Linked DNA regions of Schizosaccharomyces pombe. The protein of the gene in region 1 binds, or shares a complex with, the protein of each later gene. Each region holds a gene or a part of one and is shown on either strand. Other genes may lie near its edges. The genes, in order: seh1, gle1, nup85 and nup82.

What was found.
Region 2: seh1 (region 1) and gle1 share a complex: the UniProt entries of both Schizosaccharomyces pombe proteins name them as parts of the nuclear pore complex.
Region 3: seh1 (region 1) and nup85 share a complex: the UniProt entries of both Schizosaccharomyces pombe proteins name them as parts of the nuclear pore complex.
Region 4: seh1 (region 1) and nup82 share a complex: the UniProt entries of both Schizosaccharomyces pombe proteins name them as parts of the nuclear pore complex.

Annotation. Positions count from the first base shown.
Region 1 is NC_003424.3:2,396,905-2,401,580, reverse strand, and holds seh1 (GATOR2-SEACAT complex WD repeat subunit Seh1), read right to left. Parts: upstream 2,173-4,676; 5' UTR 2,161-2,172; coding exon 2,094-2,160; exon of another isoform or gene 2,053-2,093; coding exon 1,119-2,052; intron 1,065-1,118; coding exon 1,046-1,064; 3' UTR 862-1,045; downstream 1-861. Other genes in the region: nuclear import protein Nxt2, read left to right, coding at 9-15, 58-140, 210-281, 334-435, 514-621; glm1 (glomulin), read left to right, coding at 3,393-3,702, 3,758-4,131. UniProt on the Schizosaccharomyces pombe protein: Functions as a component of the nuclear pore complex (NPC).
Region 2 is NC_003423.3:245,480-250,534, reverse strand, and holds gle1 (nucleoporin Gle1), read right to left. Parts: upstream 3,307-5,055; 5' UTR 3,275-3,306; coding exon 3,137-3,274; exon of another isoform or gene 3,087-3,136; coding exon 1,782-3,086; 3' UTR 1,558-1,781; downstream 1-1,557. Other genes in the region: GTP-binding protein Bms1, read right to left, coding at 1-1,299, 1,347-1,448; SNARE Pep12, read right to left, coding at 3,896-4,107, 4,238-4,817. UniProt on the Schizosaccharomyces pombe protein: Functions as a component of the nuclear pore complex (NPC).
Region 3 is NC_003423.3:2,173,156-2,179,467, forward strand, and holds nup85 (nucleoporin Nup85), read right to left. Parts: upstream 3,276-6,312; 5' UTR 2,974-3,275; coding exon 946-2,973; 3' UTR 501-945; downstream 1-500. Other genes in the region: lysine--tRNA (Lys) ligase Krs1, read right to left, coding at 1-477; RRM-containing cyclophilin Rct1, read left to right, coding at 4,879-6,177. UniProt on the Schizosaccharomyces pombe protein: Functions as a component of the nuclear pore complex (NPC).
Region 4 is NC_003423.3:3,398,483-3,404,614, reverse strand, and holds nup82 (nucleoporin, WD repeat Nup82), read right to left. Parts: upstream 3,998-6,132; coding exon 1,601-3,997; 3' UTR 1,306-1,600; downstream 1-1,305. Other genes in the region: bbl1 (phosphatidate cytidylyltransferase), read right to left, coding at 1-306, 352-491, 675-1,012; cbc2 (nuclear cap-binding complex large subunit), read left to right, coding at 4,542-4,751, 4,860-5,067, 5,149-5,279; mitochondrial [2Fe-2S] cluster assembly NADPH-ferredoxin reductase Arh1, read right to left, coding at 5,496-6,132. UniProt on the Schizosaccharomyces pombe protein: Functions as a component of the nuclear pore complex (NPC).

The DNA.
Region 1 (4,676 bases):
CTTTCATTATGGCTGGTAAGATAAAAATTTGTATGATTTATTGCTAATACTCTGCAGACTATAATGCTTTGGCGACCCAGTTCACTCAATTTTACTACCAAACTTTCGATTCCGATCGTTCTCAACTTTCTTCACTATACGTATGCGACTTCTAATTATGAAATTAATCCTACGTGTATTTATCTGGGCAGCTAACTTATATATATTAGAGAGAAGAGTCGATGCTGAGTTTTGAGGGAGCCCAACTCCAAGGAACTAAAGCCATTGTGGAAAAACTTGTTGTATGATAATAACTGAAACGTCTTCCTTTTTTTTATTAACTGTTTGGTATAGAGCCTGCCTTTTCAACGCGTTCAACACCGCATCTCAACTTTGGATGCTCAACCTACTGGTACTACTGGATCCGTAATCGTTATGGTTACAGGTGAGCTTTTGGTAAGTTATAAGATTGATGTTACTTATTCTATTCATTTTTTTTTTTTTTGCTTTGCTCTTTTTTTAACCTTTTTGTAGTTGGATGAAGAGCAAATGGCCCAGCGCTATAGCCAAGTTTTTCACCTTGTTAACAATAATGGTAACTACTATGTCTTAAATGACCTGTTTCGTTTGAACTATGGTTGAAGAATATCATAGTGAAAATATTTAATACAAGTATCTTGATTATCTGCAATTTCATTTTCTTTTTTTTTATGCTTTTGTAGCGATTACCGGATTTTCAAACTACAACCTGTAGCAGATATAGCTTTTTGAACCCATCGCTTGTTTAGTTCGTTAAAACAAATTTTCGAATTGAACTCTACCTAAAAGTTTACATTAAGACTTAGTCTAATTTCGAAGTTTTACGCTAAATGAAAATTTAATCTCAAAGCGAATGTTAGTTCACTTGTCTAAAATTATAAATTAAAACCAAAAATTTATAAAGTAATATCTCCTTTTTTACAATTTGGTTATGATCTAGCTGGTAAATATGAAATAATTTAAGAAAGGAAACCAAGCAAGGTCGGCCATTCAATGTATCTGTTACATTAAAATTGAACTAAGTAAATCACAATTTTTCAGGTTTTCTGTCACAAGTTAGTATCATATATTCATGAGGCCGAAAGCATCTCTGAACTTACTTTTCTAAAGAAACGACAGATATGCATTTAAATAAATTTGCATAGGACGCTTTCCATAAACGAACGCACCCATCATCGCCCGAGCTGCTCAAAATAGTTCCTGTCACATTAAAACGGCATCTCCACACTTGACATTTATGGTTATCATATTCACCAATGAGTTCCACCTTCAAAGAATTTAGATTGAAATTTGAGTCTTCTGTCATTGAATTTCCAGCATCTTCTTCCTCTTGAAATACTTCTTCGCAAAGGGTTTCAACTTTAAAAATACGAACATTCCCATCTTTGCATGCAGTAGCTATCAGGTAATAACTACTGCCCATACTCGGAGCCCAGCAAATATCACGAATAAGATCTGTATGTCCGGGTAACTCAGCAACTTTTTTCCATTTTCCATGAGAGTTCTGCTTGTAAATGTAAGCATCATTCATGCATCCAACAGCAATGTACTGTTCTCGCCAACGTGATGGGCACCAATTTACACAAAACGCTGGTTGCTCGTTGCGCGAAGGAGGGGACGGCATTAAAGCAATTTCATTCATTAAAGTCCAATACGTTAAATTACCGGGTTCCATGGCCTCATAAATCCGTAAAGTAGCATCCGCCGAAACTGCTGCTAATTTGCAACCATGTTGAAAAGGGCAAAATGATATGTCTAATACGGCGCTACGAGCATCCATTAATTTTGCAACTTCAACCCATGTCTTGGATTCAAAGTTCTTTTTTTGTTCCTCATAGATCCGAACCCCTCTGTCTAAACTGCAGACAGCTAGCACTTGACCAAATGAAGGATGAGCCCAAGCAACCCTCATTAGACTAGCATCTCCTGCCCTCCATTCAGAAGTGATTGCCCATGTTTCAGTATCATCATTAAAATCGTAAACCTTGACTCGTTGATCAGCTGAACATGATACCATTCGACGGCCATAAAAGTCTTGACAATTAGCTACAAAATCTAAAATAATATTTCCTTACCGTATGTAACATCATTCACTAAATCTTGGTGATTTGTTTGAATCGTAGTAGCCGAAATATCATCCATGTTGGTAGAGACGAGGTGAGCTAGTAAAGAAGGGCCAAAAGATTTTATATGTAAATTATCGGTATCAGCGCAAAAAAAAAGAGGGTAAGTCTAGAAAAAATGAAAGAAGTAAATTTTTTGTAAAGAAGACTTTTCGCATGCTTAACTTTCGGTCCGACAAGTTAACTCATCGAAGGCGACAATCATAGTAAAGAATATACAAAACGACTAAAATAGTCAGCAAATATCTACTGCACATAATCTTCACTCAGTTCATTCTTAATAGATGGTAATAACAAATTTGTATACCACATTGACGTTATTTCACCTGAAGTGATTTGGTAAGCCAAAACGATAATAATCTAATATGTTCATTGACGTTTAAAAAATGAAATGAAAGTTTCAAGTACTATACAAATAGTCTTCCGGACTACTAAATTATTTAGTTGTTAGTGGTATGTATACCTCAGTCAATAGTTAGTTATTAATTACCTTCATTTACAAATATGAAATTATGTGCTTTTTTTAATGGTTTCAGTATAGTTAAAAGTATTATTGATATTTTGTTTAAGGTACAAAATCTTTTGATAAAATTATTGATTTAATTAATGCAAAACTGAAGTAGGTAATTTGAAAATATTAGTCCCCCATTAAAAAATATGCATATATAATGTTAATACTTTTTTTGTAAAATAAGAACTTCACAATAAAATGCTGAGGAGCCGTAATCAAAATTAGCAAAAAAATTCATAAAAACATTTTATTTGATTTTGCAAAGAGACAAACGATAGTAGTAACATTGATATCATTAAAGTGTTGGTTTTTTGAATTTATAAGCTTGTCTATTTATTAAATGCAGTCAGTGTTTAACAAAATAGTGACACTACCAGTCAATTCTTTTCAGTTTTGTATTTGCAGATTATCACAGATTTCAAAATGACTTTTGTGACCCATAATATGTTCTTGTCTCATGTGTGTTATTATACTACAATACTTCAGGACTTAATAGGCAAGTCATGTACAAGTAATAATGATTGTAATTGCACGTCAGTGCCACAAGTATAGTATATCTTTTAAATGGGAAATTTTTCAATTTTTTTTATTTTTTATACACTGAATGTCAATTGGCAATGCCATTTTGACTCTACGGAATTTTGATTATATTGAGTATTGTAAAACGACCCTTTTCTAAAAATAAAAAACAAAGCCTATCCCTTACTCGCTAATCTGAGTTAGTTCGATCAAGGCCAGAAATGGAACAAATCAGGCCGTTCTCGGATAACTACTTGGATCGTCTACGTACAGTTGAAGAGGATGATTATAATGACTGGGAGGGTTCATCTGATACAAAAACGTTATACTCAAGCGTATCAGACAGCAAAATAGGGCATAAAAAAAGTTTTCATAAGGATGGCAAAGGCTTATTTAAGACATTGCGAAATTTTTTGAGTTTGAAAACTAATAAGGTACCTAAAAACAGAAAGTTTTCATTACTAAAGGGTTCTAAATGTAACAATGTGGAAATTAAGGTGTTTATAAGGAATAATGATAAACAATCAAACGGTGCGTCAAAAATAGGATAATGACACTTTGTTTTCTTAAATTTTAACAGCTGTAGTTCATAATTTTAAAGGAAAAGATTCAATTCATGAAGCATGGAGCCAATATTTAATTTTTGATAGCATGGGCTTGAGTCCCCTTATACACATATCTGGAGAAGATAAATACAAAGTTCTTTGCTTATTTAGTATATGGAGAAGAAAACTTGGCAAATGCTCAATTTTTACTGTCCATGACCCCGATATCCAAAAGAAAATAAAAAGCATACTGTCATACTTATGGGAACTTAGTAATACAAATGACCCTCCTCATGTTATCGTGTGGCATACCGCAAAAGGCACTAATGTCATGACAATGGGACCTTTGGGACTAAAAGATGAAGATCTTTGGAATTATGCCAACGAAAGATCCAACCTTAATGGTACTACTTGACACCACTGCAATGCCTTTTAGAGAAGATACCGTGTATTTATTTTTATTTAATCTTTGTACTTATCGAGTAATGTGATATGATCGCAGAGCATCACCGTTACCCAAACCGACTACGAAATATTAAACTATTTTTTTTTGGGGAAACTTCATTACTAAGCTATTTGTAAACGAAAAAATATGTGCTGCTACTTCACGTTTGAACAGGATATTTATAATCGTTAACTACTTTTAGATAATGTTGAAAATTATTCCTCTAAGTATGAGTCCAAATTACGTGTTATGTAAAACAAAAAAAAAAAACAATTTATGGACAATATTCGGTTTTCAAAGAGAAATAGTAATTAATGTGTTTTCTGTATATTATGGAGATGTGATTAATACCGATGACCTGTAGCAATTGTTAAATTGCTGAAGGACTAGTAAACAAATAAAAATATATGTATTTCATTAAAACCGCGTTTTGCTAGCATAATTCAAGTAACATTGTCACTTTCACAGTTTATTTACCTCATTACGTCATGAATGTTTTGGCCAAGACGGAATTC
Region 2 (5,055 bases), on another chromosome or scaffold:
TTCGTTGTCACTTTCATCCTCGTTATTTATAGCACCAATTTTTCCTGTAAAGTCGACGTCTTCGTTTTCATCAGCAGAATTAACATCAGAATCATCAAATGCCCCTTCATCTTCCTTAATTAGTTCTTGATTAATAAGTCCAGTTGGTTGGCGACGGGTTTTACGGCCAACATTATCAATTTCACTTGATTCTCTATCGACCGTATCAATAGCATCTGAATTGCTAAAAAGTTGTAATCCACTATTACCATCGACTCCCAGAGGCTGTTGGGCTTCTTGAAGTTGCATAACCATACGCTCTCCAAAGCCAGCTTCAGAATTTTCATCTTTAGAAAAATTTGAAGTTGGTACCTCAATGTAAACCCTATCTTTGTCAAACAAAATACCACCAATATCGGCCATAGGGCCATAGATTAATTTTTGTTTTTCTGATAGTCGCCGGCGACGGACTTTGTCGGCATCGGGAGGCGGGCAAGGATCTTCTAGGGAAGAAACATCAGACGTTACAAAATCACCAACACCAGGGATATGTACAGAGGCATCGTGCTTAGGAAGATTTGTGCCATGCAAATAACCATATAACGTGATTTTCCGCCCAACTTTCGGATTTTGTTCAATGTCAACAGGCAAAGTAAGGTCTTCCATACGATCAGCTAGTAAATAGGGATGTTGGTTGCGCCATCGCAAAGGCCTAAATTTCATGACACTTATGAATCGAGATAAATTGAGGATTTCCCTATCAGGATATCGTCCGTTCAAAACGCCGGACAAGTAGAACAATTTAGCACCTTGATAGAGTTCAGTCCAAAATCTGTGTTTCAAACGTTTTTTAGCCTCTCGCAATGTAGAAGTCTTCTTAAATAAATCGAGATGTGTTAATACACCCATGATGCGAGGCATACCATGCGGTGCTAATATGTTCAAAAACTCCATAGTTTCCATTTCGAATCCAAAATTCGCGTCAATTAAAAGGAGAACAAGGTCTGCAATCTTGGCTACGTCAATCATAGAGCTGAGATCGTTAGGACACTCCAAAAACGTGATTCTTCTCTTCTTTCCTGCAACCACCGTAATCGGCCCAGTAATCTGAGAAATAGTGTATTTAGAATATCTACGTACTAAAGATTTTATCAAAGTAGATTTTCCAGTGCCAGGAGGCCCCATAACGGCAACAATCACTGGTGGCGGAGCTTCATCCGGTGTGCGATCCACCATTGGCACGTGAAGCTTCTTTTGTGAAATATCCGCCGTACGCATAGCTTGCCTAGCCATGCGCCCTGCAGATGCTACCGCAAATGCCTATTCTTATTAGCCAATTTGATTATTTACAAAAGTTCTCAACATACCTTAGGATTGTTTGAAGCACTACCATCGGACACCTTTTTGAGCTTCTTTTTTTCAGCTTTTGGCCCAGAATGTTTTGCATAATGGCCCTTCTTCTCGTCCATGACAACTATGGAACAAGCTAGATATTTGTAAAGGCTCAAAGTTGAGTAGGTGAAAAAATCCACTTTAAGTCACATCAAGGTAACATGATATAACAAATTTTGAATAGCAGTGTCTGTAGCGAAAATGCATTTCTTGAGTCAAATTATCTTTATTTAATGCAAAAGTAAATATGGTATTAATCAGCGAAACTGACATCAAAGCCAGGATCATTTAAATCGTAATGGTTGAATTAAATTGAAACAATTATCTAGTACACATCCTAACGACTATAATTTCTACCGTAAGTATATTATAAATCAAAAGTAAATAGGTTGAAAACCCATCAAAAAAATTTAAGGCTCAAAGGAGAATTTGAGCCCTCCTTGACCCTTCATCCAGTCTTCTCCAACAATTCGAAGACGACCATACTGACTACCACCTCCGTTCGCTCCTAGATAAGCTTCACTAAAAGAACAAACAATAAGTTTTTTTGCTTGTCTTCCATATATTCGTAATAGAGATTGACCAGCAATATCAAGATACGTTGAGACGATAGAGCAAAGAGTTTGCCCTAGTTCCAAGTCCGATTTCATTAATTGTGAAGGGGATGGAAGATTCAGCAATCGAGAAAATGTTCTCCAGCTCTCGGGAGCTAAGCTATCGTCTAAAGAAAGTATAGCAGCGTAAACTGCAAAAATTCCGCACTGTCGCTCGTTGTATGTAGTATTTTGTTCCCAATGGCCATCAGATAGCTTTTTAAATCCCATTTTCTTTTTACCATTCTCCGTACCGTGATCATACCAAAACGGTATAACCCAAGGACAGTTCTTCTGTAGGCGAGCAAAAAGAAGATCTTTAAGGTCGGCGTTTTGTGTTTGTAATAAAAGGCAAACTTTTGCCAAAGGATAAGCGCTAATTGGGTTTACAGCAACTTCTGCTTCTGCTTGCTTCACCACAGATTTGCAGAAAAAATTCAAAACCCATTTATAGACCAAGGGATCCGTATTTCTGGCCTCTTGGAATGTCTGTTGCAGTAGCTGTGTAATCTTCATGATTTGAGAATTGCTTTTAGTAATTTGACCTAAACGTGGTGTAATTTTCCGTTTTTGAGTAAAGCAATAGTTTTTGAGCTCTTTTTTCTCAGAAATCGGGGCTACTACTTCAGTCTTAATCTTATGAATGATGGACCAAGCCATATTTGAGTCCTCTTCAGGATCGTCTTTAAATGTTTCCTTCATTCTCTTTTCCCGAGCTTCTTCTTCTTTCCTTTTAGCGTCAATTTGCTCCTGCTTTAATCGCCTTTGTTCATTCTCCTTGTGTTTTTGCTCTTCTATCAGCCTGATTCTTTCTTTTTCTTTTTTTTCCTTTTCCATCAATTCTTTTTTTCTTCTCTCCTCTTCATCTTTCAGTCTTTGGCGTTCTGCTTCGATACGCTTTTTTTCCAACAATTCACGATTAAATCGTTCCTGTTCTAACCTTTGTTTCTCTGAAAAAATTCTTTGAGATTCAGTTATACTTTGTTCAATTAAATTTTGCTCTTCAACATTCCTCTTCTTTGCCCAATCTATCGTTTTATGCAACGGTGGGAAAATACGCACATTTTCATCGGCAATTACAGGAAATGGAGATTGTTTTTTAGGCTTATACCTTTGTGATATCTAAGAACATTATTAATAAAAATAATATTAATAGAAAATCGAATACTTACTATGTGAATCATTCGCCGTGTTTTTTCATTATATATATCCCATAAATCATCAATGTCAAGACCGTTAGCATCGTTATAACTAGATATTATTTTTTCATCGAGTTTAGCATGGATTAAAGGTGTTGTTTTTGTATCCATAACTGAAATTTCCTGAAATTGAGGAAATTGGTAAAAGGACGATTTGGAATGGACATTCACTATGCGAAACTCAAATTGATCGAAACTTGATGCTTGCTTTAATTAACATTACAAGTGTCAAAACTATAAAAGTCTTAGGTTATTAGATTGTATTAGGCGGTTTAAATTATAATTAAAAAAACAGAACAAGCAATCATCCAAACTATGAGACATAAGTATATATTAACATAAACAAGTATCATTAATTAAAAATCAAAGTATAACTAGCCCAATGAAGTTGCAAAAAAATACAATAAGTAAGAATGCAATATAAACAATTGCAGGCAAAGCGAGAGATTTGACTTCGTCTATAGCTAAAATGGATTAACTGATATTGGAGGACTTCCTCTAGGTCATTAAAATAAATCAAGTAAAGAAATAATCTGTATCAAGGAATTGAATAGAATACGCTATCTTGAATGCATGAACATACGGTAATGACCAAACACGTGAAGAGCAACTCACGTATAACGATACTAACACACGATTCCGAAAATGTTTTGTAAGATTTCTTCTTATCGAATTTAAATTATAAAGATTTGCATTTTGGGACCTGAATGAGGAAAACATAGCAAAAGATTTCTAGCCCATTATTAAAGCTGTTAATATTACCCCCAGTATAACAACTAGAATTACAAGAAAGCAAAAGCTTCTTTTTCTAGCCTTTCTTGAATGCTCGTTGGCAATCTGCAACTGCCTTGAAGCATTTTTCGTGTTTGTCGATGTGTTTCCGACGTTGTATTCAATGTTGGTAACTAGTTCACCCTGTTCATTAATAATGGTGCTTAGATCGCCTAAAAAGAAAATTGTTAGTAAAACTTTAAATTTATAAAAGCGAAAATATTTTAGGTCAAGTATTTAGCATTACTCCTAACTCCATCACGTAAACAGAAAAAAAAAAAATGTCAACTAGCTGATACTTACGAAAGATTTCATTGAGTTCATTTATTCCTTGAGTCAAATTTTCGATTTCACCTTGTCGTTCATTAATAAGCCTTTGCTGATATTCTAGTTGGGAATTTGAAATCTTTGACTCAGTCAACGGCTGTCGTTGACCAGAAGAATTATTTGATAGAGACACATTACGCTCTTCCTCTTCAATAAAATGTTGTCCGACGTCTTGATTAAGTGCAGCTTGTGCTGCGGCTACAGAATCAGACTCTTGTTGAGCGCATTTCTGTTGTACTCTTTGAAGCTCAGCCAATACCGTATTAAAATCTCGGGTAAGCTTTGATAAGGCGAAGGACGACGCTTCTTCTCCATATTTTGTATCTTTGATGTTGGCAAGCCTTACCAAGTCTGAACGAACCTTTTGAGATAGTTCACGGGATTGCTCTAAAACCTCATGTAAGTTTTTCGTAAGGTTGTTTACCAAATATCTATGAATTGCTGCTGTGTTTCCTCGTAGAGCATGAATTTCCTGAGCAATACTGCTCGCTAAGGCTGGAAAGTCACCATTTTGCTCGATCTTATGTCTTCCTTGCTCCAAGTCAACAAAAGACATTATAGCAACAAAAAAATTGAATCAAAGCAATCCAACAGTATTTGCAAAGGTACTAAGAAAGTCAATATAATTAAAAAATTGGCCAATTAGCTTGAATTGAGTCTGAAAACAAAGATTCAAAGTTTTTCAGCAATAATTAGTCACCTTGCTAAGGTTACAATTCTTTTGTTCGTAGAAACCTTGACAATTGTCAAGTGTTTTAGTAGTTGGAAGAAGAATGCAAATCTTATGAGCAAGG
Region 3 (6,312 bases), on another chromosome or scaffold:
TTGACACATAACTTGAAGCTTTTTCCCATCAGCATGGATTTCATAGAAACGCAGCTTATTACCAGCAGTACGAAGCCCAAGAACACGGCCGGCAACTGCAACTTCAACTTCAGGCTTAGTTTCACCACGAGCTAGTCCCTCATATTTGGCTATAAATTCAGGGAGGGTGATGGTGACCTGGAACTTGTGGGGATAAGGATTAGGATCCTTCGTTTGGCGTAATTCCATGATAGTACGAGAACGATTTTCAAAGTACTGGGAAGGGTCCAAATCTTCTTCCTTCTTTGAAGAGCTCTTAGGAGCAGCAACAGGAGCAGACGCAGCCTTTTCGGCTTGCTTTTTTGCTTTAGCTAATTCACGAGCACGTTGTTTTTCGCGCTTCTTTAACTCAGTCTTTGAGACTTGTTCACCAGTGACGGGATCAAGGACTAAAGCCTTTACAGCCTGTGTAACTCCATTCACCTGTTCCTCACTCATTTTAGCTTACAATTGCCGTTTTCAGGTTTCAGAGAAATTTTCGTGGAGGAAGAGAATATTTACCCCTTGTAGATGGTAGTTCCGTAACATAAGATAGTGTAATATAACACATTCCGTTATTTAGTTAATATTTTTTTAAAATGATTCTGTTGATATATGCTAAACGTTTGAAGATGTGAGTAATAAATGTGTAAAATTTTTTAGATTTACAACATCGGCTGGGTTCACTGATTTTGGATCCTCCCTATTATGGTATTAGACGAGACATTATAATGGGTCTTTAAGATGAACAATTGTATCTTAATAAAAACATGTATGAAGCTTCTATGTTACAGAAAGATTAAAATGTCAAGTAACAGAAATAGCCTAATTTAAATCCCCAATTGAGTAAATAACTCAATTATGTACAAGTGAGCCAAAATTTGCAGAAAAAATATATAGCATAGCTACTATAGAATTAAACCGTTTTTATTTTTTTAAGTGAAGAAAATACCATGATATCGCAGAAGAAAGACGCTCATGAATGGATAGTAAAAGCTGCTGGTCCTTTACAGTTGACTGTTGATCCTGTAAGACAGCGATACAATCATAAACATTAACAAGAGAAAGCTTAAAATCTGTCGAGTTAGACTGTAAAGGATTATTCAAAAATTCGTGAAGTAGTTCTAATAACTTAGGGAATCGACTTGAAGGGAAATCAACCATTGTTAGTAACCCAACAAGAAGTTCAGAGGCATTGAGCTCTTTTTTGTGCTGAAGGTAAAAAAAATATTGATGAATTGTAGCAGCTGGAGATATTATCGAGGCAAGGGTCGGGGTACAGGCTTTAGGAGAGCTAAACAATTCATACAACAGTTCATCTTTATCGGGACTAAATGACTTCTTTTCTGCAATACATATATCAAACAATTCCCAAGTAACGCGATTTAAAGCAGAATAGTTCGCAGCATTATCTAAAGCAATTAGTGCTTCACCATAGTGATTACGTGCAATTAATTCATCAGCCCAATGAGTCAATACTAATTGAGCTTCGTCCCTTAGTTTAAGCTGCTTGCATAATTGAAGTGCAGTTTCCTTGGCATCCACATCGGAAAGAGGGACATATGGAATACAAGCTTTTATTCGTTGATAGCCGGAATCAGCAACACATTTCCAGTAAGCAAAGGACGTTTGCCAAAGATTTCTACTTTCTAAAACACACTGCCCATATTCCAGTATAAGATGTTCACGTAAGGTAATGGGATATTCCTCGGTTATGTAATCCCGCAAATGACCGCTTTTACTCAATAAGTCTGCTAAATGCACGGCTAGTCCAAGATCTAGAAGATAGGCGTGTTTAATAGCGTTAAGAGGTTCATTACTGCATAAATTAACGCATATTTGTTCATACTCAATCGTTCCATTAACGTAAAACTTTGAGTCTTCTCCAGTTGCAAGTTGATATAATAGAGATATATCTTCAGGATTTTTACAATCCAAAGGACCATATAAAAATGCTAAAGCTGAAAAATATTCCTGCCAGTGTGCGCAACTTAACATGATGACTTCTTTATTTCCATTCAAAATATCAAGCAAAACAACAAAATCATCCAAAACTTCCGAATCAATATCCCGATGTTTCTTAACCACATGTCTGAGGTTAGCCAAGCGTGATCGCCACAGTTTCCATCGTCTTTCAAAATCGGAAACCGACCTAATTCTCTTTTGGTGCGTACAAGGGCTGTAACGTAATATATCAATAAGTTCGTCAACTGTTTCTTTAAGTACAGGCCACTCCTTCGTTAAACCGGACATCTCGAGGCATGATATAGTTTGTTCAAAAAGTCCACGAATAGCTGTTTTATTAACATAAGGCCAAAATTCAGGATGTTGGTAAGGTATACGATAAGCCATGATTTCGAGTCCATCATCGGCAATAGGCTGTGGATCATAGGCATTTACCCAATCTAAAATTCCTGTTGATAAGGTATAAGGAGAAGAAGGGGGGAAATAAATAGCTTCAGCACAGCGCCAAGCTGATTCCACTTCCCATAAAGAATCCAAAACAGGCTGACAATCTTTTTCACCCTCGTTAATACGCGACTGCAACTCCTCTAAAACTTGTATAATTTTAGAGCGGAAGAGCGAGCTTATTTTCCCATAAAACTGCGTTAACAAAAGCAAATTTGCCTCGCTGTCCAAGATAGGAGTCATATAGGTATCTTGTAATTCTTCCCATAATTCATGCCATGCGGTCAAAAGGTAATTTGGTTCAATTAGAGTAGAAGGAGTACTAAATTCATACACCAGAGATTCTACTTCTTCAAATTTATCAGACTTTAACGTATTTTCGTCAAATTCTTTGTTATTAATGTACGCTAGTCCTTTTCTCAAAAAAGGATGCAATTTGAAGGCTACCGTTCGGCCTTTTGAACGCCAGTCATTCAACTTTCCATTTTCTATAGGTGCATTTTGTAAATGATAAACAGGAAGATCCACTTCATCCGAAGATTCCATATTGGAATGTTAGTAGTTCCGAAGAAAGTAAGAAAAAAGCCTTGTAAGATTTGGATTAACCAAAATATAAAAGAATATATTTATCTGCTTTCCGATACTCAAAAAAATCAGTAAGTATTAGGAATTTGCATGTGTCCACCTGCAGGCGTTTTTCAGATGTCAAAAAGGATGGCTCTTGCTCGACCAGGAGTAATTTAGTATAAAAATTAAATCTCACTTGATTCTTGTTGGTTTTTTTTGACAACGAATAATACTAATTATCTAAGGAAGAGCAGACACTCCTTTAAAGATGCTTTAATCGTAAAGTAAGGTTGATCGAATTGGAGCCAGGCTACAATATGAAGTTTGAACTCAGATCGTCGCAACAAAAAATAGCAGTCTTCCTGACTTTCTTTAATGTTATTAGAATTAAAGGAATTAAAATAAAAATTAGAAACGAATATGCCGTTGCTTTTATCTTCGTCAAAATTCGATGCATGATCGTATTTCATGGAGGCATAAAAAAATTGATCATGTTTGCAAATTAATTTAAATTATAAATTGTAATAAATTTCGTTTCTATATAAATTTGTTATCACTTATTTTACCAGTGAATTAACCAAGATTCATGCTTACATATTCGATAAATCTTCGATGGACTAACTACACACGTAATTAACGTTTCGAACCTTGCAACTGACTCTTTTAAAGAACATTACCTGTCTGTTGGAAGGACAGTTGATAATCAAAAAGTATTTCTATAATGAAGAACTGTTTACTTAAATGATTTTAAAATTCATTGCAACCATGTCCACACTTAGACAATGATCATTTAACTTTAGCAACTTAATTATAGCCATACTTGTTTTTCGGATTATGAACGGTTTATACGCCGTAAAAGTCCGCAATTGAATTTCGTATCTTCCAGTTAAAATACAGAATTTAGGCTGTGCTGCTAACGAAGAAAAGTACTTGCAATCTAGTATGAAAATACGTTATACATTAAAAATAAGTTTCATTGAGAACTGTTGGCAATTAAGCAATTTATGTTTAATAGCAATATTTGTAAATGCAAGGGTAACTTACAGAGTTTGATGCTATATATATCATTATTGAAGGGATTCTGAAAAAATAGAACTAAACAGTCATAATTGAATCTTTGCATACCGCTTTTTTGTCAAGATATATGCCATCAAAGTACAAATTAATTAATATTATATTAAACAGAATTAGTGTCGATTTATTATCATCGATAATATGCGTTCAAAGTCAATAAAGTATCTATAACAAACAAATTAAGAATGGTCGTGTATTATTTTTCCTTTGCGGGAATTACCTTTGTTGTTAAATGTACTCAAGGAACACTAAAGGAAAGAAAGACCTAGCTCAAAAGACAGCAGGAAGGAGCAAACTGTGCGTGACGATCGCTAAAATAAAAAATTAAATTACTCCTTACCAAATTAAAACCTTTGGAACAAAACAAAGTATGATCACTTTAGATTGTCTACCTAGATGTTCTAAGGCTTTAATAAGTGAATATAATATAAAAAATTTACTTAATTGTGTTACAAACGAATGTATCACATTGCGTTTTTGCCTAGTTTGTTTACGTATTTAACGAATCACTGCAAATGATTTTAACGAGTTAAACAGAAAAAACTTTCCAAACACCAACATAAACAGTATGTTCGACTGATTTTACCCTTTTGTTATTGCTTTGGTTTAATTTATATTTTCTGTTATAACTTGCTGAATTTTTGTATATATTTTTTGAATTGGAATATTACGCTTGAGAGCTTTGGTTTATTTTTTTGGTAATTTGTGGATATCTGAGAATAAAGCCTTCTTGCATGTATACAATCGTTTTTTTGAAACATTCTTACATCATACCATCCAAGAATACCATTCAAGTATCTTTAAAAAGCCATGTCTGTACTAATTGAAACTACAGTTGGTGATTTGGTTATCGATTTATTCGTCAAGGAAGCGCCCAAAACTTGTGAGAATTTTCTTAAATTATGCAAATTAAAATACTATAATTTTTGTCCATTTTATAACATTCAGCACAATTATACCTGTCAAACAGGTGATCCTCTTGGACCAACTGGAGATGGTGGTCGATGTGTGTGGAATGTACTGAATAAAGGAACACGCTTTTTCAAAGCGGAATTTAATCCTTCTTTGGTACATAATAAAATGGGCTTGGTTAGTATGAGCACAGCAACTATATCTTCTAGAGATGACAAATTACTTGTTTGTGGTAGTCAGTTTATAATAACTTTGTCAGACAATTTAGAAGGACTTGATGAAAGATACCCAATTTATGGACAGGTTGCTGAAGGCTTTGACACGCTACTGAAAATCAATGACGCTATATGCGATGAAGAGGGTCAGCCTTATCGTGATATTCGTATAAAACACACAATTATACTAGATGACCCGTTTGAGGATCCACCCGATCTAGTGGAGCCTTTGCGGTCACCGTCTCCAACGCCTGAACAATTAGCTACGGTACGTATAGGGGAAAACGAACAAATTGAGTCAGAAACATCGGAAGATAAATTGCAAAGAGAGAAGGAAATGGAGGCAGAAGCAGAGGCTGTTACACTAGAAATGATTGGTGATTTACCCTTTGCTCATGTTGCTCCTCCCGAAAACGTTTTGTTCGTTTGCAAATTAAATCCCGTTACCCAAGATGAAGATTTAGAGTTAATATTCTCGCGATTTGGAAAAATTATCTCCTGCCAAGTTATTCGAGATAAAGAAACAGGCGATAGTCTTCAATATGCCTTTATCGAATTTGATAACAAAGAAAGTGTTGAAAAAGCTTATTTTAAAATGCAAAATGTTTTAATTGATGATTCTCGAATTCACGTAGATTTTTCCCAAAGCGTGGCTCGTTACAGACAATATTACAACTCCAATAGGGACCGAAAACGTTCTTCGTCTCGTAGTGATGATCGTGAGTACCACCGTAGGTCTGATGGTCGTTATGACAGATCTAATTACCGAGACGACTATAGGCATCGACGGAAAGAGCGTGATCATCGTGACGATCAAAGTTCATTTAGAAATGAAAGATTTTCTAACTACTACGGTGATGATCGTTCATACCATAAACGGAGAAATACTGGAAATAAAAATTGTGATGATCACTTACGAGATAAATCTCCTGAACGAAGGTATAGATATGATAGACGTTATAGAGATGATAGATATCGATAGATCTTTATTATATTCGTACCTTTCTTGTGAATATTATTTATGACTGATGAAATTACTAAAACATAGTTGAATAATTGATTAAGACTTCAAATGTATGGAATGAAATCTACATTGCTTATACTTGTAAAAGCAAAA
Region 4 (6,132 bases), on another chromosome or scaffold:
AGCTGATAAGAGAACCAATAACTACAGTACAAATCCATCCTCCTAAAAAACCTTCGACAGTCTTCTTGGGGGAAACTTGAATAAGCGGATGCTTGCCAAACATCTTACCACACAAATACGCGAAAACATCGTTGCATACAACGTAGCAAACAGGGACAAAGAACCAAAATAAACCTTCAAACAGATTGTTAATCATAAAATGGGACTGTCCAACTACTAAGAGTAAAGTCATATGAGTCCAACAGAACTGACTGAACTGAAACTTATAATTGCCTTTTTTCAGGGAAGCGACGAAAAGTACAAAACCTAGCAAAAATTAGTAAACAATTCAAAGACGTTTAATCCACTAACCTATGATGTACAACATAAAGGATATAAACCTATGGTGTAAAACCAATGGAAGCATAAAAGAATCCATAATAAAAAGATGGTGAAAGTAAGCATAGATACTTTCACCATAAGCGTAATACAAGGTTGTCATTAGAAAATACCTAAAAAAAGTTAAAAAACTGCCTTAAAAAACAAAAAGGTAATAAATTTGACGCTAAAAAGAGAAAAACGATTTTGGCTTTTCATTTTCTATTATTTTTTTTTAAAATACTCTACTGATCGCGAACACCAACATCACAGTTAAACACTTTAGAAAAGCTAGTGAACAGTATCATCTCACATACCAGTTAATAAACCTTGTCCACGGAAGATCCTTTTCTCTACTGGGAACGCTTGCAATAGCTATCACCTCTTTGTACACACCAATCTGAACTATAGTGACCAGCAGAACAACCCAAAAGTGACCCATTGCCAAAGCAGTGAAAAATATACCGAGCAACAAAAAGGTCCATATAGTACGCGTAATAAAATTTTGACTTGGCTTTCTAGCCAAAGATTTATGTTTAGTAAGCCTCGCTGGCTCGGTAGTCTTGGAAGACGCGCTGTCCTTATTTTGGACAACCCCAACATTTCCATTTTCTTTATCCGAATTATTTCTTTTATTAGTTCTCTTCCGCGCCATACTTTAAAACTTCCCTATCTTTGGAAAAACGCTTATAATTTTGTGGAAAAGATTTGATGGGTTTGAAGAGTGAGATGTTAGTGGGTCAAGTTCTTGTTTCTTTTTACGAAAGTTAGTAATAATCTGTATAAATCGCACTATATGAAATATATGTCAATAAAATCTCACTACACTATAGTACGTTATGTTACTAACCATTATATGTTCTAAGCTTTAGAGACTTGCCTCGTGGGTACAATACTCTCGAATGAGTAAAAAATTCGCTCCTTAATGTAAGACTTTAAAAAAAAAAGCATAACTGCTGTTTGTTTAAATTATTAAAACAATAACCAAGACAATTGCATTTCTAAAAGATTTCATTATTATATTAAGTTCAAATTTTAAAAATCAGAGCTTAGGAAATATAAAATATCGACCATTAATATTAATGAATTTTTAAATGGGCCAGAGTAAATATAATAATATCCGCCAAAATTCCGATTATAAAATCTATTATCAAAGGTAAAAAGAGAAGAAAACTTCTGGTAAAAAAACTTACGCTTAGTTTAACACTATAATAGCTTTTTTTGTTTAGCTGACTAATTTTTTTCAAGATGTTTGTAATAATCTTTGAAAAGAGACAGTCTTAGTTTTGAGTTCCTTAATAGATAAGCTTTGTTGCGCCAACAGCTTTTGAAGTTGTTCAATAGCAGCAAGGCGCATATCCGAAGAAGATGCGACTAGCGTTGTTTGTGCATCTCTCGGTTTGGTACGCTGCAAGAGAGTTTTTAGAGTTTCAACTCGTTTCTCAATACCACGCTCGCCTGTAACTTTTTCTTTATAATTTCCAATTTCTTTAATAAATTGCTTTTCCTTATCAGAAAGATCAGGGACACGCAAGTCCATAACACGTTGTAAAACCTGATCAATCCTCTTTTCACACATTGACATATCAGAAGTTAAGTGCTCTAGATGCTCAGTAGACCATGCTTTTTCTCTAAAGTTACTAATCCTGTCTGAAAGTTTGTAAATGTGGTTCTGCTGTCGCTCATATTCCTCCCTTTGAAGCTTTAAACGGTGATGCAGCTCGCTACAGCCATGATCTAACAAATTCAGCGTTTCCCTATAACGAGCAACAACTTTTCCTAAAAAGCGTAAGGAAGCGGATGACACTGTAATTTCATTTTGCAGTTCAGCAGGTACAATTGTTCTTTCAACCAAACTTGGGATTGAAGGATCTGTAAAGGGAGTTTTTTCTAATAATGAAACATATAAAGGTGTATACGTCAACTTTTCATCTAAGTCATCAACTTGCTCAAGAGAAGAAGTACCAAGTGATTTTGAGTAATCCATTTCATTCGATAAAGATTCCTTGTTGACACCCATTGTGGCCAAATCAGAATCATCAAATACAGTAGTTTGCCAATTCCTAGTAAGTGATATAAGGATTTTACCTAGAGAGGGATAATACAATTGGGCGCAACCGACAACAGCGTCAGTGCTTTCGTTCAGAGGATTTGTGTCCAATCTTTCCAAAACAGAAGTACGAGAAGGAATAGAAACCAACACATTTGAAAGTTCATCCTCATCATTCTCTTCCTCGTTGTTCAAAAATTCACTGTTTTCGAAATTAAGATTTAGATCTCTAGCCCAAGATTCAATATCAACTACATGTAAGCCGTTGGCATGATATGCGATTAAAGAATACGGAGACTGAATATCTGGTTGTAATACCATATAAGGGTTATTGTTAGAAAGATACAGTGAATGAACTTGTGAAACAATAAGTTTCATAGATGCTAAACCATGATCATTAAGTTTAGACCATCGTCCGCTAACTTCTGACACTAAGAGCAAAAGATCAAGGCGACCCTCGGAACCACCAATGGCGAGTACGTCAATTGGGTTCATACCAAAAGAATAAATATCACAATAGTCTTCAATAAGCTCATCATCAGCTACAGCTGGTTGTAGAAGAAAGGGTCCTTGCATAGAAGGTATAAATGAAAAATCATCTGGTCTACGAACAGATACATAATCAGATGAATCAAAAAGTTCAGAGCTACCTTCGGATATAACAAATGAGGTACTTAAATCGTTTGCAAGTGCTGCTTCGCCTAATAGTTTAGTAATCCAATGAACATTTCTACGATGATTTTCCGCATCAGCATCGTCCTCTTTTTTAGTTAAAATTAATCTAATTTGTTTCAAAACGTCTTGGGGTATCATTGCATTTGCTGGCATTACCGGGCAAACGCTAAAAACATCTCCTCCTCGGGTCAGAATATAAATTGTAAATACCCCCCACCCTTGAGAAACATTGCTAAAGCAAAAAGCGGTCGGTATATGCAAATCTACATCGGCATCAAATGAATTGGAAGCCTGATGCGTCAATTTAAGAGGAATCTCATAATCGGGCATTAACACTCCATTTCCAGCCTCATAAAGCAAGAGTGAAGTTTCAGTTAATACAACCAAAGATCTTCCGGACTTCCCCAGTGGGTGAAATCGAACGGAGACAATTTGAGAAGAAGGATTAATAACTGCAACCGAACAAATGGTAACCTCCGATAATTTTAATGAGTTAGTCCCGTTTTCCTGGTGTTCTGAATTTGAAAAATTGTTAACAGATTCACCAAAGTTTGAAACGGACTCTGCAAGTGGATTTTGTTCAGATAACTTTGATCTCAAACCCAGTATAACAATTTTTGATTTTCCTACCACTGCTAGAAATCGGCCATTTTTACTAAGGCAAATCTGTTCAATCATAAAGTCTAATTCTGGATTAAAAAGTTTTTTGTAAAAATTCTTATGAGATGCTTCATTTTTATGTTTTAAGAGTCGACAATCCAAGCTTCTGACTTCTTGCCCCACAGCAACGTACAGAAACGACTCAAACGCGCAAAGATGCTTGGGAAAAATTTCCCAATCCTCAGGAATAGGTTTAATCCATCGTAGGGCAGGATGCTTTTCCAAAATGTCTGTCCATGATACCTCTTGAGACATGATGGTTGATGCCATTTTGTTAGTCTTCTGCGAGTATTAAATAAGGAGGAAGAATGCGTCGCTAAATAAATGTAAAAAGTAATACATGTGTACTTTGAATATTAGAATATACCATAATTATTTGTACCTAGCTTGTTATAGGTAAATTAAAAGAACCAGATCTTTGGAGCCTTTTCCTCTTTCTAGCGAAATGCAGCATATGGTGTAATAGTGCTTGAATGCTACTTCTTTTAAAAACATTTAAATGATTTTAGTTTGCGAATAACAGGTATACAAATTCTATACATCAATTACATTATAAGCATTAAGTTTCCTAATATTTAACAGTTTTACTTCATTTAAGATAAAGCAATAAGTTAGCTAGCATAGTTCATTCAAAAAAGCGATTTCCTTAATTCAAATTCTCTTAAAGAACAAATGTAATTTTAAAACCAATTATTATAAGGGTTGGAATTAGCTACATTTACACGATGATTTTTTTACTTTGTAAATGCATAGTACACTATAAAGTTAGACTTCAACCTACAACCACTGCCTAGGAAAAATGGCATCAATAACAAGGTTAGATGCTGTTTCTCCGTATCTCATACGGAGGTTTAAAAACGATTTACGTGCTTTAGATGCTGTGAAACAAAGTAACTGTGTTTATGTTGGCAACCTTTCATTCTATACCACCGAGGAGCAAATTTATGCTTTATTTTCCAAATGTGGTGAGATTCGACGAATTATCATGGGCGTAGATAGATTTACAAAGGTAAGTTTTCATAAAATTCTGTTTATTTGCTCTTCAAGTTCATTACTTTCAAAGTTGTCTTGGAATGCAATCATAGATGCCCGACTTGTACTAATCAAATATTACCAGACACCATGTGGGTTTTGTTTTGTTGAATATTTTGAAAATCAAGATGCTTTAGATAGCTTAAAATACATTTCAAGAACATCATTGGATGAAAGAATTATTCGTGCAGATTTGGATCATGGTTACGAAGAAGGTCGTCAATATGGCAGAGGTGCATCCGGAGGCCAAGTCAGAGATGAAATGCGGGAAGAATTTGATCCTGGACGTGGTGGTATGTAGTCGGATTCTAAAAGAAGCGATATTTAATCAATACAGTCTCTGCAAACTTAATAACATACTAACTTGACTTTAGGATATGCAAAAAATAGGCAACCAACCAGCTCTAGACAGCTTGCAAACTATTCTGGAATTTCTTCTGCTCCTTTAGGATCTTCTCTAGAACTTCAAAGTAATCCAAGATACAATCGTTGGAAAAAAAATTAAAAAGTTAGTTATATAATTCGGACTTTAACGAGGTATTGGAAGATTCACAGGCACTTCTTACTATTTATTCCGGAATTTTTAGAGTTGGTCCATTTTAAAATGCTTTACAAAGAAATCTGTAAGACCAGCTTGCGATATATTTTTTTGGCATAAGACTTATTTCATTATACAAACCAATATTCAAGTTACAAATGATTTAATTAAACTATGCAGTATCTATTTTTTACCGGGATATATTAGTTTAATCATATCTTCATTCGACCTGAATTTTTCACTGAGAGACTCATGCCTAAGACCTCTTTCAATTTCTGCATTTCGAATTACCTTCCAATCTTTCCAGTGAATTACAGGTGTTTTAATGTTCTTTTTTAAGCCATCCCATCCTAGCTTACTATTTTTGAGAAATTCCTTTTTGGATTTCCAATCCTTAGTTATTGTATCCGCTGTAGCAAATGCATCCATCATGGTCGTAGCAATGACTCCAATTGGCCCATGTTTCACCCATCCACTAGTGTAAATGCCAGGACGAACAAATCCGTTAACATTTTTTACAATTCCTTTTGCATCGTCGAATGGAACGCCAACGTCTTTCATTCCAGGCAAGGGCATACTTTTATACCCTATACTTCGGATAAACAACTGTGCGGGTATGGTTGTAAATTTTGACTCAGCATCTGTTCTTATGCTATCTGTAATCTGAAAGCGAACATTTTCAACATTTCCCTTATGTCCTAGAATCTCAACAGGTGTTAAGCCAAATTCCAAATTCCAACATTTCTTGTCTTTTGAATAAGGGGCTACTCGTTTCTCTGAAACAGCTTTCTGGATTTCGGAAACTAATAGCTTTAACAAT